Mus musculus: one gene and its partner. The protein of the gene in region 1 interacts with the protein of each later gene in a pairwise test. Links are inferred from orthologs where the notes say so. Each region holds a gene or a part of one and is shown on either strand. Other genes may lie near its edges.

Region 1 (7,157 bases):
TTCTTTGTCATCTGTTACACCACAGATGAAAAGAAAGGGTCAGAGATGGGCTATCTGCACGTCTCTGCCAACTGGGAGCCTCAAGTTAAGCTGACCACTGAGGGGCTGACAAGACTGCTTAGGAAATAAGGAGGTACTTGCTGCCGAGGCTAACGATGAGCTCCATGCCCCAAACCCACAGATTCAACTCCTGTAAATGGTACTTGGATAATTGCCATATGCATAGCCCATACACATACATATCTATTCACAATATTGTTTAAAAATATGCTGGGTGCCTTTATCCCAGCACTCTCGAGGTAGAGGCAGGGTGGGTATTTATGAGTTCAAGACCAGCCTGGTCTACACTGAGAGTTCCTGGGAAACCAGGATTACATAGAGAGACTACATCTCTAAAGAAATAAAATAAAATTAAAAAAAAAAAAAAAGCTACCATTGAAGCCTAGTAGAATGCATATTCTCTATTTAAAATTCCAGCATAAATAAAGAAATCAAACCAAACAATAATAGAAAAACAAACAGAAACTGTCCCCTCTGGCAGGAGAGGGAGCTATGGCCCCTTCTAACTACCTCTTGATATATAGAGTGCCTGTGAGGCTGCCAGGGCAGCTCAGGTCTGAAGGAAGCGGCCAGAACGCCCACCGTCCTGGCCAGGCTGAGGGCCTCCCTGTGTTACCTTTTCCATCTCCTGTTTGAACGTGGTGAACACTTCACTGCTTTTGGAAAGTGTGTTCTGGAACTCCTCAAACTTCTCCGTGTACAGGGCGAGCTGCGTAAGAAGCACAGGAGCACGATGAGGAGGAACGCGGACAGAGCCACTCTACTGAGACACCATCTCCTAATACCACACAAGCAAAGTCGTGCACAGCAAGGATGTGTTCCAACACGACAATCCTGCAAAGTCAGCCTTGGGAAGACGTCAGCATGTGGAGACACTGGTCTCATACAAAAACAAAACAAAACAAAACAAAACAAAACGAAGCATACACTGATAGGGCTGAAGGGACGGCCAGAGGTTAAGATCACTGGCTGATCTTCCAGAGGACCTGGGTTCAATTCCCAGCACCTACATGGAGACCACAACTGTCTGGAACTATTCTAACCTCTAAAGGTACCAGGAACACAAGTGGGGAAAAATATACATCCATGCAAAACACTCATATGCATATCAATACAGCAAAATAAAAGTAGACAGAATTGAGCTAGACCTGGTAGCTAACGCCTCATGCATCTGGGAGTCAGAGGACTGTCACAAGTTCAAGGCCACCAGAGAGCCTGGTCTACAAGGTAAGTTCTGGGTTAGTTGTAGCCACAGCTAAACTCAGAGACCTGTTCTTCAAAGAACAACAAAAATGCCTGGCATGATGGCACATGCCTACATTTAATCCCATTACTTAGGAGGCTAAGACAGGCAAATCTCTGTGTTCCAGGCCAGCCTGGTGTACAAAGCAAGTTTCAGGACAGCCAGGGCTACACAGAGAAACTTTGTCTTTGGGGAAACAAAACACACATAAATAAAAGACTTGGCCGACACCAACAGGCCAGCTGGCACAAAGCCAGGCTATGACAGTCCTGTCTCCACTGCCCTGCAGATGGGCCCTTGTGAAAGCATCCTGGAAACTGCAGGTCAGGTTCCCGTCTCACCTGCTGCTTTAGGTGGGTCTCCTGCTGCTTCATCAGCTCGCACATCCTCTGGGACTCCACCGCTTCCTTCAGGAGCTATTTCCAAGACAGGACCCCAGAACCTGTCAGAAGCCCCTGAGGGTATGTCTGACCTTCTTTAGCCACAAGCACTGGACCCACTGAGGCTACCTGCTCTCAGACTGCTGTCTGGACAGGCAATTACTGGATTGGGCAGGCAAAATCTCTCCCATCCATAAGAAATAGATTGAACTAAGCCAGAACCCAGCCCACTTCCTTCCAGCCCCACCACAGCCCTGGGGCCTGAGCCTCACAAACTCCTTCTCTCGCTGGTGCCGCTCCTCTGCCTCCTTCAGCATCTCCTGGGCCTGCTGGAGCTTGGCGTCCACTAGCTGCTGCTGCAGGTCCTTATGTTTGAAGACTTTGTCGATATGCTGCAGAAAAGGTAATTTATGGAGTCAGGAGTTCCCTTTCAAGAAAGCCCCAACTCTAGGAAACAAGGCACTTCATCCGGTCTCCTGCCGACCCATGTCCTTGGGAATGGCATGGTCTGATGTACAGGTCTGATGCGGAGCTGGGACGAGGACACGCCTCCACTCTAGCACTGAATACTCTACAGATGTCCGGTTCAGACACCAGGGATAAGCACTGGTGTGTGTGTGTGTGTAATCTCTTCTTTCCATTTATTTCAGCTCCTTATCTACAGGATACATCTCTTGAAGGAAGAGCAAGCCCAGGCCTGCAGTTGCGGCCCCAGGCCCTGGCACTCACTACAGACTCCCAAGCTGCTGGCCTCAATCGCCTGCAGCTCACCTCCTCACGAAGCTCGTATTGCTCGATCAACTTCTTGAGCCTCTCGGCTAGCTCCATATTCTCCTGGCGCAGCTTGGAGTTTCGCTCGTTATGCTGTTCCATCTGCAGCTGAATGTCATTCAGTGTCACCTGGAAGTGTGAAGTCACTTCTTTGCGCTTCTCCTCCTCCTCACGGGCTCGCTGCACGCCTTCTTCCTGAAGAAAAGAATTGTCCATAGTTGCCAGCCTTGCACAAAGCTCCCCTAACTAGTTCCAAAGTCCAGTCTTTGCCAACAGCGATTTGGGCCCTGGGGAGCACCAAGGATGTAGGACGTCATACAATGGGGTTTCCTAACATGCCTCTCTGTAAATCAGGTGTTATCAAGCGACTCTCCCAAGAATACTCAGGGTCCATGCTAAGTGCCATTCTGCAACAGCTGGACAGCCTGAATTCTTGTTCCCAGACTCTAGATTAAGTATTTCTGCTTGTTTCAATTTGTGTCCATTTTAATGTCCTTTAGTCCCTCCTGTTCCCCACAGAGAACAATATAACAAAATGTAGTCATATTCAGGACTAGCAGAGTTGTAAGAAATGAGGCACCTAAACATTCCCACTTTTATGAAGACAGCCTAGACGATTCTATCAATTAGCCACTTAGTGCTGTGCCCACTGACCCAGCCATTTCACTTCTGAAATTTAGTCTGTAGATAAAATTCCTCAGCACACAATTGGTAAAGGACATGGACACACATACTCTTACCTAGTTTTGGTTTTTAAGTTTTTTTTGTTTTGTTTTTTTGTTTTTTAAAGATTATAGCTGGGCGTGGTGGCGCATGCCTTTAATCCCAGCACTCGGGAGGCAGAGGCAGGCGGATTTCTGAGTTCGAGGCCAGCCTGGTCTACAGAGTGAGTTCCAGGACAGCCAGGGCTACACAGAGAAACCCTGCCTCGAAAAACCAAAATAAATAAACAGATAAATAGATATAGATAAATAAATAAATAGTACTGCACATGTGTGCACCTAGAGGCCAGAGGTCAAGTGCCATCACCAAGCTTTCTTTACCTTAGTATGTATATATGTATGTATTTATTTTGGTTTTTCGAGGCAGGGTTTCTCTGTGTAGCCCTGGCTGTCCTGGAATTCACGAGAAGTTTGTACTTTTTAAAGAGAGTCATGGACCTCCTGCCACTGGAGTTAGACAGTTGTGAGCTGCCATGTGAGAGGTGGGCACTGAAGCGGCTTCTCTAGAAAAGCGGCCCATGCCCTAACCACTGGGTTATCTGTCTGCCTGTCACCCACTGGGTTATCTATCTGCCCACCCACTTCTTGTTGGTTTTGTTTTAAGCTTTTTTATTTATTTAGTTTTTATTTTTGTTTTTGTTTTTTTCGAGACAGGGTTTCTCTGTGTAGTCCTGGCTGTCCTGGAACTCACTCTGTAGACCAGGCTGGCCTCGAACTCAGAAATCTGCCTGCCTCTGCCTCCCAAGTGCTGGGACTAAAGGCGTGCGCCACCACGCCTGGCTTAAGCTTTTAAAAATTTCTGTATATTTATGTGTCTCTGTGAATGTATGTCACATGTATGCAGGTGTCCAGAAGTCAGATTAGAGTATCAGATCTCCTCAAATGGCTTGCGGACAGCCGAATGTGGGTGCAGGAACAGTAATCGGGTCCTCTGGAAGACTACTAGGTTACTACTCAGCCATCTCTTAGTCCTCCATACTTCACCGAGGTACACTACTTAGGCCAGCTCTGCCGCCGGGCTCCAGGCCTTATGCTGGCAGTGGGAAGCACGCTCTTGGTTGATCCATCTCCCCACCTTGCATCCTGAGGTCCCATAAAGGTTTACTTGGCAGGGGACTCTGGAGCCTACTGTGGTGCCCAAGGTCTGCTGAAACGGCTTAGGACTGGGAAGTGTGCTCTTGAGCAGCTCTGCTGTCCCACACCCTCCTGCCACACCCTGCTCCTGCCCCTCTCAGCGCAGATCTGAAAAGCCATCAGGTTCCCCTTATCATGGATGAGAGCTTTTACACTGGGTGTCAGGACAAACAATCTCTGTGGTTTTAGGAAGCTGAGTGTTTGCAGAGGGAGCTGACTCCGGCTGACGCATCTGGTGCTTCCTGCACGCCAGGCAAGGTAGGCACAGCTGTTCTTTGGTGGACCTGGGACTGAGCTAAGCCTAAGCTGCTGCTGCTGTTACTTCTTCTTCTATAGTAAATCTTCCTATGAAATCCAAGCTGGCCCAGAACTCACTGTATAGCATAGCCGCAGTTGCCCACAAGTCCCAATGGATACTGATGGGCCTACCTTCAGGGACCGGTTGTGCCGTTGCAGCTCCCGGCACAGACTCTCAAGCTTGCTTCGGGCCAGGACAGCCTTGCTGTGTTCCCCTCGCAGATGGTCCTTCTCCTGCACGAGCTGGCTCTGCTTCTTCTGCAGGAGCTTCATCTGCTTCTGCGAGTTCCGATGCTCTTCCAGCTGAGAACAGGAGGCATAAGTGTCTGCAGGGCACCGTTACACAGCTCTAGAGATTCCTAAGCTAACCACTATTCACCCCTTCCACTCCAGGCACAACAGCTCCAACAAGAGCCTGCTCACACACCAAAAGCACGGGAACTTCTCATGCTCCTCCCAGAAACTGTGCAGGCTAACCAAGGGTTTCTTGGGGAAATAATAATGAATAATGACCAAGACCAATGAAGTCCGCCATCAGATCCCAGCCTCTATCCCAGTTGACTCCACTGGATGAGCCCATGGTCCACTCTGTTGGGATACCCACATCCTATCAGACAACTAATCTACATGCTACCAATTCAGAGCCTGTCTGCACCACACTCCTTTCTCAAGACACTGCTTTTTCCAACAACTGCTACTCTTTTATTTGGGGGGTGGGGGGGAGGTGTTGAAGATGAGGTTTTTTTGTGTAGCCCTCGATATCCTCGAACTCACAGAAATCCACTGTTGTGCCTCTCCTCCTGAGAGCTGGGATTAAAGGTGTGTCACCACTGCCTGGCTACAACTACTACTTTTTTTTAAAAGTTTTTTCAAGACAGGGTTTCTCTGTGTAGCCCTGGCTGCCCTGGAACTCAGAAATCTGCCTGCCTCTGCCTCCCGAGTGCTGGGATTAAAGGCGTGCGCCACCACTGCCCGGTATATTTTACATTTTAATCTTAGGCCTTTAAAGGCTGATGCAGTTCTCATAGCTTAGCAGATCCAAATCAGACTAGCCATCTATCAGCTGGGGTGAGGCTGCTGTCCTGAGTAGCACTGGCCTATCACTCCACGCCAGGACCGTCACCACTTCTTTAAATCCCCATCAGTATTTATGGTTCCTCCATTTCTCATCCTAATAGACTTGCAACTACTGGGCTTCATTCTTTTCTCCTAACTGACTCACCTTCTACCCTGGCTTATTCTTTAATCCCAGTAAAGCCCCTTTCCCTTATGCTGCACAAGTACCGAAGCAACCCTGCTTAAAGAAGTCTTCCTTAGCCGGGCAGTGGTGGCGCACACCTTTAATCCCAGCACTTGGGAGGCAGAGGCAGGTGGATTTCTGAGTTCAAGGCCAGCCTGGTCTACAGAGTGAGTTCCAGGACAGCCAGGACTGCACAGAGAAACCCTGTCTTGAAAAACCAAAAAAAAAAAAAAAAAGAAGTCTTCCTTATACCAATCCTTGGAAGGCTCCCTTCTGCCCAGAAAGGCCACCACCACTTTCTCCAATGATATACACCCCTTTCCGAGACAACTGCTTATCTCCTCTTTATATCTTCCCACCCCAGATATTGTCATCATTCTTGTTTCCCTGGAAACTCAGAGGAAACCAGGGGACTAGCAGCACACGCCCCCCATCTCTGACTGTACTTGTCTTCTTCACTTACAGACAGGTACAGACTGCTGGAGCCTCCCTCCTTGTGCGTTAGGCCTTAGCCCCCTCCTATATTAAGAATGTTACCCCAGGAGCTCAATTCCTCCTCCTTTGTAGCATCAGTATTCTCCTAGTTAAAGCCTTCCAAAATGGACTTTGTTTTTCTTTCTGGAACTCACTGTCAATTCACTCTGTAGACCAGGCTGGCCTTCAACTCAAAAGATCCACCTGCGTATGCCTCCCAAGTGCTGGGATCAAAGGTGTATACCACTCTACTAGGCTCTGTATTTCTTTTAATTTTACTTAATGTTTCTTTGTGTTTTGCCTGCATCTATGTCTACACTATACTTGTGGGCCTGGTACTTGCAGAGTCTAGAAGAGGACTTCAGAGTGCCCGGAACTATAGTTAAAGATGGTTGTGAGCTACCATGTGGGTGCTTAGAATCAATCCCAGGTCCTCTGGAAGAGCAGTCACTGTTTTTAAACACTGAGCCACCTGACCAGCCCCTCCTTTACTCCTCTCTATCTCTCTACCCTCAATCCACTCTACACTTTTACAATAAGAAAGGTGGCAAGACCATACTTGGCATTCTTTCTTTGGTGGTGGTGGTGGTGGTGGTGGTGGTGGTGGGGTTTCATTTTCAAGACAAGACCCTGTAGTCTGGGCTGGCCTTGAATTCCTGATCCTCCAGGAATTAACTAACGGACACACCACCATGCCTTGGTATTTCCCATGATCCAACATGGAGGTCATTACCTTGTCTCAAGAACTGAATCAAGCTCCTAGAGCTAACTTTCACTTCACTCAGGACTGAGAGCTAAGGAGGTAAAAGAACAAGAGCCACCCCAAAGACGGCCAA
Region 2 (7,866 bases), on another chromosome or scaffold:
AGTGGCAGGACTTTAGGAATCACAGCCAAGGGGACCAAAGAAGAAAGAAAATCACCATGCCAGGAAAGTAATAAGATGCAGGCTTGAAAGCTGCAGAAGACAGAGTACCAATTATGTAAAAACTGGGGAAGAGTCTCTCTAGACCCCCATCATGGGGTATAGGGCAGCAAAGAAGGATTATAGATTTTAGTAAGTAATAATTCAGGAGTATAGGGAGTGAGAAGTTAGCAATGTGAAAGTTTGGGAGTGGCCCAGTCATTGATCTGATTAAGGCATATTTAATACAAGGCTCTGTGAGTGTGTATGTGTGTGTGTGTGTGTGTGTGTGTGTGTGTGCCTTTCATTTGGGAATCCAGAGCATGCAGCTGTTAGTGAGGAACTCACGCTGCCCTGCCGCAGCAGGGGAGATCAAAGGAGAAAATCTTCTACTGCTACAGGCAGTTCTAGTCTACATATATACAACTTCCTAAATTACATTATCATAGCTGTCCTCTCAGGCTTCAAAAACCCCGCCCACATTCATCCATCTGAAAGTCGGAAACCAACCATCACCTCTACAAAACCTGGACTCCTGCATATACGGGTTCCTGAATACTTGAAACCCTAATTCCTGGGGAGATTTTGTGAAGCACTGAATCTGAAGTCACATTTCAGTTGTTCTTGAACTAGATGTACCCTCCACAGAATCCTTTATCCTAAGTCTGGGTTTGCTGATGTTCTCTAAAAACTCTGAGCAACGCATCGCCTGCTGCCTGTGTCTCACTAGTGTCCCTGCAGCTTCAGCAACAGTGAAGAGATGTAAGTGGGTTCAGTCTTGGACATTTGAGCCATCATGAAGTTTTCTTTCTCCTTCAGTTTCTGCTTTTTCCTGCTCTCTCTCATCTGATGGCTCAGCTGGTGAAGGCATACGCTGCCAAGCCTGAGTATACAAGCATGATGCCCAGGAATCAAAATGTAAGAGAGAGCAGAGTCCTACACTTTGTCCTCTGACACCTACAGTGAACCATTCATGTGCCACCTTCCCGATACCAACAATCAAAATAAGTAAATAGCAGGGCATGAAGGCACACACCTTTAATCACACACAGTACTTAAGAGGCAGAGGCAGGCAGATCTCTGAGTTTGAGCCCAGCCTGAACTACAGAGCAAGTTCCAGAACAGCCAGGGCTACACAAAGCAACACTGTCAAAAACAAACAAACAAACAAATAATAATGATGGTTGCAATTCTTGACAGGAAAAATACATTGTGTGTTTCAACTTAGGCAAGAATAAAGGGTATGACTAACATTCTCAGAATAATGAAGTTTCAGGAAAAAGATGATATGACCATGCTTCACTTACTCGCTGTCAGAACTGGGCAACACTAATCAGAACTCGCATCCTGAATTATTCCACATGACTCATCTGAGAGCCAAGCAGAACTGGATGGAGGACTGTGGGTTGGATTAAAATTGACCGCCATGTTAAAGTAGCAAACTGACATGAGTGTTGAAAGGAGAATGCAAATGAGAGGTTTTAAGAACTAGCAATCAATCATCCAGATGTGCTGAGAAACAGTTATGTTCCTAAAGCAAGCCAGCAGCATTCCCATCCAAGTGCTTAGAAAGTCTGCTTGCTGCACACCTATTTATGTATGTGATATATATATATATGTATATACATATATATATATGATACATGTACTGATATATACATATATATGTGTATATACTGATATATATATACATATATATCAGTACATGTATCAGTGTGTTGATTTCTATATCATGTGTGCTTTCTATGTCATATATACACATATATTTTTATATGTGTGACTTGTATATAGTACATGTATCTGTGTGATTTCTCTATTGTCTGTATTATGTCATATAAATATATACACATACATATATAATATATATGACTTGTATTGATTTGCATTTCCCTGATGATTAAGGATGTTGAACATTTTTTCAAGTGCTTCTCTGCCATTCGGTATTCCTCAGGTGAGAATTCTTTGTTCAGTTCTGAGCCCCATTTTTTAATGGGGTTATTTGATTTTCTGAAGTCCACCTTCTTGAGTTCTTTATATATGTTGGATATTAGTCCCCTATCTGATTTAGGATAGGTAAAGATCCTTTCCCAATCTGTTGGTGGTCTTTTTGTCTTATTGACGGTGTCTTTTGCCTTGCAGAAACTTTGGAGTTTCATTAGGTCCCATTTGTCGATTCTCGATCTTACAGCACAAGCCATTGCTGTTCTGTTCAGGAATTTTTCCCCTGTGCCCATATCTTCATAATAGTACATGTATAAGTGTATTGTGATTTCTATATTGTGTGTGTATTCTATATCATATATACACATATATGGTATATATATGGTACATACTGTCATTTTCTCAGTGAAATCAACAGGGTCAGACTGAGATTCTGTCATCAATTATGGTTGGAATGTGGCTGAAAGAGGAAAGAATTTGGAATCAGTTACCGAGGACCCGGGTTGGTGCCCACCATTAGAAGCTACTCCCTTGTCCCCAATACAGCCTGATCCACCTAACTGGCAGTTTTCCAAGGACGCAGCGAACTGTGAGGAAGAGAGGGGTTTAAATGGTGCTAATACAGTGACAGTGGAGTGAGCCTAACCAATTCCCAGCTGGAAGTTACTAAGGTGAATTCAAAGGGAAGAGGGTTGAGGCCCAGTCTCTGCGGTGGCGTTCTTGGTGACCCACCGGTTCTCTGGTTGGGCAGTGTCCTCCCGCGTTTCTCTCGCGCCTCTGGGTAGCCGCGGGCCGCAGCTAAGCGGGTTGGGCGGGCTGAGGACTGACCTGGCCGCGCCAGTGCTGGGGAGTTCCCGCTAGAAGGAAGCGGACTGGTGCGGAGGCCGCGTCTCCATGGCAACCCACTGGGAACCAGCCGCCAACTGCGCTGGGCGGGCGGGCACTGCGGGCGGGACCCGCAGCCCAGGCCAGGGCAGACCTCTCCAGACAGCAGTACAGGTAACAGGTGGACTCCCTGTACCCAGGCCCTGTCCCTCCCCTAGGCTGCAGCTAGCAAGGAGATGGCCGGCCGGACTGCTGCTTCCAGCGACCCAGGGAACTGTGCCTCAGTTTCTCTCCTTAATTTGTCTGAACCTTTTGACTTAGCTTTGTCTCCTGTCGCCTCCAGTGTCTGTCTCACTGCTGCAATTCCTGTGGTGGCAAATGGTCTGAAAGGAGGTTCTTCCTCTCCCCTGCCCCCTTCCCTTCCTACTCATCCTGTTCACCTCCCCCTCTTCCACTCTCTTCTTTCTCCCCTTACCCTCTCCTCTCTTGCCTCCTCCTCTTCTTCCTCTTCATCCTCTTCTTTTTTTCCTTCCCTCCCCCCTCCTTCTCGTTCTCAGTTCATATACTTCTTAGGAAGGTTAAGTTCATTTTAACACTTTGTTCATTTATCCTTTTAAATTAGTCCACTAATGGGACAACTTTGTGAGTGTGTGTGTGTGTGTGTGTGTGTGTGTGTGCGCGCGCGCGCACGCGCGAGTGCGTGTGTTGAGGCATGTAGGTGCCAGGGAAGAAGAGGGCATCTGATTGCCCTGGGACTAGGTGGTTTTGAGCTACCTGACCGGTGCTGGGTCCTCTCTATGCACTCTAAGCATGATGACCTCCAACTGCTGGGCCAGTTCTCCAGCTCCTGTTTTTGGACTTCGTACTAAATTTCATGCTCAATCGACTCTTTTAAAAGGTCAAGAAAAACCAATGAAAGAATACACTCAAAGGCAAAGGATAGGCACTCCACTAAGATGCAAACTGTGAGGGCTTCTAGATATCACTTCTCAAACCAGGAATTAGGAACTTTTGCACAAATTAGGCAACTGACACCTAGCTGCCTAGCTGAGTTAAGGAGGTATGCTTGCTGGTTTCATCAAGGCAAAGAAACCCCACCCCCACCCCACCCCCACCCCCACCCCCACCCCCACTGTGGGCCTTCTCTGTTGAAACAACAGCGTCCATGCTCAGAGAACCTATCCTAAATGGCATGCCAACAACAAAAATAACATCTTATATTAATATGTTTAAGCATTTTATAATTCTAAATAATTTCCCTCCTCACAGATTAAATATCAAGAAGTACCAAGCCAGATGTAGACATTTCTTGGCATGGAGAACCAAGCCCATACCACAGCAGGGTAAGTGCTTCAGAAATTCTATCTAATTAGCTCATCTTTGCCCAGAAGTCTGGAGGAAGCGTGAGTTCTGAAGTGAATTGTTAAAAGAAGGATGTATTGGTTTGGGAGGCGGTAAGTAGACTGAAAATCTCAAGTAACTTATGAAGTATCTACTGGTGTAAGTCTTTCTGATGTTGTCTGCACCCTGGAAGACAGCACTTCCTGACTGATACTGTTGGCGTTATAGATTCGGAACCCATGCTGGCCTCCTCTGCCCTTACAAGTCCACAACACAGCGCTTCCTGGCCAGCTTTCTCTTTTCTCGCTGTGATGAGTGTTTCTCTGCTCCTATCCTTAAGACTGGCCACATTTTCTCAACATTTAAACACAGCTCCGCAATACATATATTTCCATAGCAGAGCAAGAACTGGGTATTTTAGAATGGGGTTTAGAAAATATTCACTGTGGTAGGAAATGGACCAAATTCCTTTTCACGATTATTTGTCCTCCCTCTTCTCCCACATCAGCACCATGAATATTTCACTAGCCATCTGACCTCTGCTGGACTCAGACTGGGGCAGCAGAGGTACATCAGAGCCCAGGCCTGACTGCAGCTGCTTTTGACACTAGTCACAACTCTCGTGGCTCACGTCCAGTGACTCTACTCCACCTGTGACACACATGCACACACACACACACACACACACACACACACACACACAGAGACACACCCCAAATGCACAGCCTTAAGTAACATGAAAACTCATCTCTATGTCAGAGTGAGTGGTTTCCTCTTTACACCCAGAGTGGTTGCTCCAGCACTGTGACTGTTTGCCTTCCATCCTGGTAGTGAGTGCTCATAATGAGGGGGAAAGCAAGGGCAGGAAAGACTTTCCTCCTAGGAGTCTGACCTAGAGATGTTGGGCTTCCCTGGGTTCACTATCATTGGCCAGAACTCAGTCTCACTTAGTTGTAAGAAAGGCTCAGAAATGTGCTCTCCAGCTGGGTGGCATATGTTTAGCTGTAGTTCAGAAATTCCATATATAGTTGGTGCTGGACTCAGGATTGCTCAGCTTGCCTGGTCACCTGCATGCCTGTGTGGCAGCATGCCTGTGTGGCAGCATGCCTGTGTGCCTGCATGCCTGTGTGAAGCTGTAAAGAGGATAGTAGAAACCATCCTCTAATTTCTAAGCTGGGTCTTTTCTCCAGACTAGAAATCTGTGGATTCCCTCTGACAATGCTAGTAATTCATGGCTAGTTACAACTGTGAGGGTAGACAGTCACCATCACCACACCCCAGGACACTGAGGGCTGAGCTGTTGGTTCTCAGGCTCGCTGGGTTAATTCCGGGCGTTTTCAACCTTTTTGTTTTTTCAATATATAATGGCCCTGTCCAGCCACAGCCAACTCCACTGTAAGTTGAAGGGCGAAGAGTATTCATTGCTGTGTCCCTGCCCCATTGAGCCTCAGAGAGATGGAGACAGGAACAAGAATTTATACCAGTAGAATAGCGGTCAGTGAAGGAGGCAAGAGTTGAATTGAAATACATCTAGCTCCAGTCCCTGGATCTTTCCTACACTGGAAATTGATCACATGGAGGTGAGAGGGGCCGCCTGCTTAGAGTTCACAGCACAGCCAGGTCAGGCTAAGAGTGTGTTGGGTCCCTAGAGAGACTGTGACATTGGGATATAGTAAGGCAGACTGTAGAATTCAGGCGTGAGCTTGTGTAGCAGATTGTCTTAGCCCTGCAAAGCTGAAGATCTGGCTGGTCTCTGCATTCATTCTTTGAAGACAAAGTACCTTGTCCTGAGTGTTAACCCCTGAAATGCCAAGGTTATTTAAAAACAGAACTGGTCCTTAAAGAACTTAGAACGCAGTGGAGAGAGTTAGACTTGTTTGGGTACAAGATAGTTACAGTTAGTTACAGAAGTTAGTGAGCACACCACAGTGTGCTCTGAAGGACTGCTGCTCATCCCAGTAGGCTATGGCCATAGTGTCCCGAGCTCAGAGCCCACTGGCTCCCATGTTGTAAAGAAACCAGTAAATGTGGATGGTTCTCCAGGGACTTGTTAGCAAGTTTATGGACATGTTCCTCTGATGTTTCTTGAAGCAGCCCACTTTCAACAGTTAGCACCTACAGTGAGCTTATGAAGCTCTGAAACTACATAAACATACAAATATATACCAAACACTGATAGAAAAAGTTATGTGCACAATATAAAAAATTTATTTGGTTCTATGGATTACAAAACAATATAAAACAAAATCTAGTTGCGTTGGTACCCGGCCAGATTTCTACTCCCAAGGCAGCCACTGTGAATCCTTTTGGCTGGGACCCTTTCCCAAGGCTTTTGATGTCTAACTTGGTATCTTCAAATAATGGGTTTTACTGCTGCTTTTGATTTTTCAATTTTAGGTATTAGCTATTGACTTTTACACTAGATCTCTCTCTATCTCTGTTTCCCTCCTTCCCTCCCTCCCTCCCCCCTCTCTCTCTCCCTCCCTCCCTCCCTTCCTCCGTCTCTCTCCCACTCTGTCACACACACACACACACACACACACACACACACACACGCTCCGAACTTCCCTGTCCCCCAATATGACATGATTTTGGTAGCCTCAATAATCTTCTTATGACTTTATAAGTCATGTCCATCTCAGAGTTTGATAAGGATCAATCATTTTCTTTCCTGCTCAACATTTTTAGCTCCTGAAGTTAGTAATCCTGTTGTCACAAACTTCTGAAGTGTCCTTTTTCCTCCAGTTTCTTTCAGATGTCTCTCTTTGGAGCTGCCTATCATTTTTGTCCTGTGAACTGCTTTCCTTGGGCCCCTGAGCTCACTTCTTATTTATTCCAGGACTCACCCATGGTGGGGACCAACTATACTTAGGGTGGGTCTTACCTCCAGAAATCCCCTCACAGGCACGCCCAGAGGCATGTCTCCCAGGTGATCCTAGATCCTGAAAAGGTGGCAGCCAACAGTAACCATCATAGGTTGTTGCTACTTGGCTCCCACTCTTTTTGCCTTTGTAGGTTTAATGTGTCAGGTGAAACTATCCATCTGCCTCGTGTTAGTAAGTCTTGGGAAAGGAGCACATTTTGTGGGTTCATCCATCTTTACCCAAAGCCTGTTCTCCCCCCTGACTCCCCTTCTTGGCCTTCCATTCTGAGACATACTTTGCATTCTGTAACTAACACCTGAGCCATTGATCTCTTTCATAGAACCTTGTCAAATGGTTTCTAAAACTTGGGATGCCTCTGCATCAAGCCACCAAACTCTTCTCATCTTCCAGAGAACTGAGATAGATAGGTTATTAAAGAGCAGCTTCCCACCTGGATTCCAAAAGCCCTGGCCAACACTGCTTCTTCTGTGTGTCTTTTTAACCCTCAGGGGTCCTTCTCCAGAGTCACAGCCTCAGTTGCTCACTTTGGGATGGATTAAATTCAGTTTTATTTACAGTTAGTAAAAAGAAATTCTGATTTGCCTGAGCTAAGCCCCTACAGCAGGACCATAATGAATGGTTACAGTGTTCTTTTCCTATAATTGAAAATTCTTTTCAATTGCTGTGACTTCCAGCTGGCCCATACCACACCTTCCTGGCCCAGACCATACCATACCATCCTTGCCTAGACACACCTTCCTGCTCTCCCCACACTGCCTAGTACTTCCCCTGCCCCTCCCAATATCCAATTCTCACCAGAATAGTCTCATTTAACAAGTTCCACTAATTTCTTGTGCCT

The links. The genes of interacting proteins can lie anywhere in the genome.
Region 2: the proteins of Txlna (region 1) and Deup1 interact in binary tests that used the Homo sapiens proteins (3 or more experiments, as listed by UniProt). The two-hybrid records come from large-scale screens. The link is inferred for Mus musculus from reciprocal best matches to the Homo sapiens genes TXLNA and DEUP1.

What each region holds. Positions count from the first base shown.
Region 1 is NC_000070.6:129,629,636-129,636,792, forward strand, and holds part of Txlna (alpha-taxilin), read right to left. Parts: intron 4,911-7,157; coding exon 4,740-4,910; intron 3,188-4,739; exon of another isoform or gene 2,650-3,187; coding exon 2,455-2,649; exon of another isoform or gene 2,334-2,454; intron 2,076-2,333; coding exon 1,956-2,075; intron 1,720-1,955; coding exon 1,645-1,719; intron 770-1,644; coding exon 677-769; intron 12-676; coding exon 1-11. UniProt on the Homo sapiens protein: May be involved in intracellular vesicle traffic and potentially in calcium-dependent exocytosis in neuroendocrine cells.
Region 2 is NC_000075.6:15,622,933-15,630,798, reverse strand, and holds the start of Deup1 (deuterosome assembly protein 1), read left to right. Parts: upstream 1-2,952; 5' UTR 2,953-2,976; intron 2,977-4,071; 5' UTR 4,072-4,116; coding exon 4,117-4,145; intron 4,146-7,458; exon of another isoform or gene 7,459-7,551; intron 7,552-7,866. UniProt on the Homo sapiens protein: Key structural component of the deuterosome, a structure that promotes de novo centriole amplification in multiciliated cells.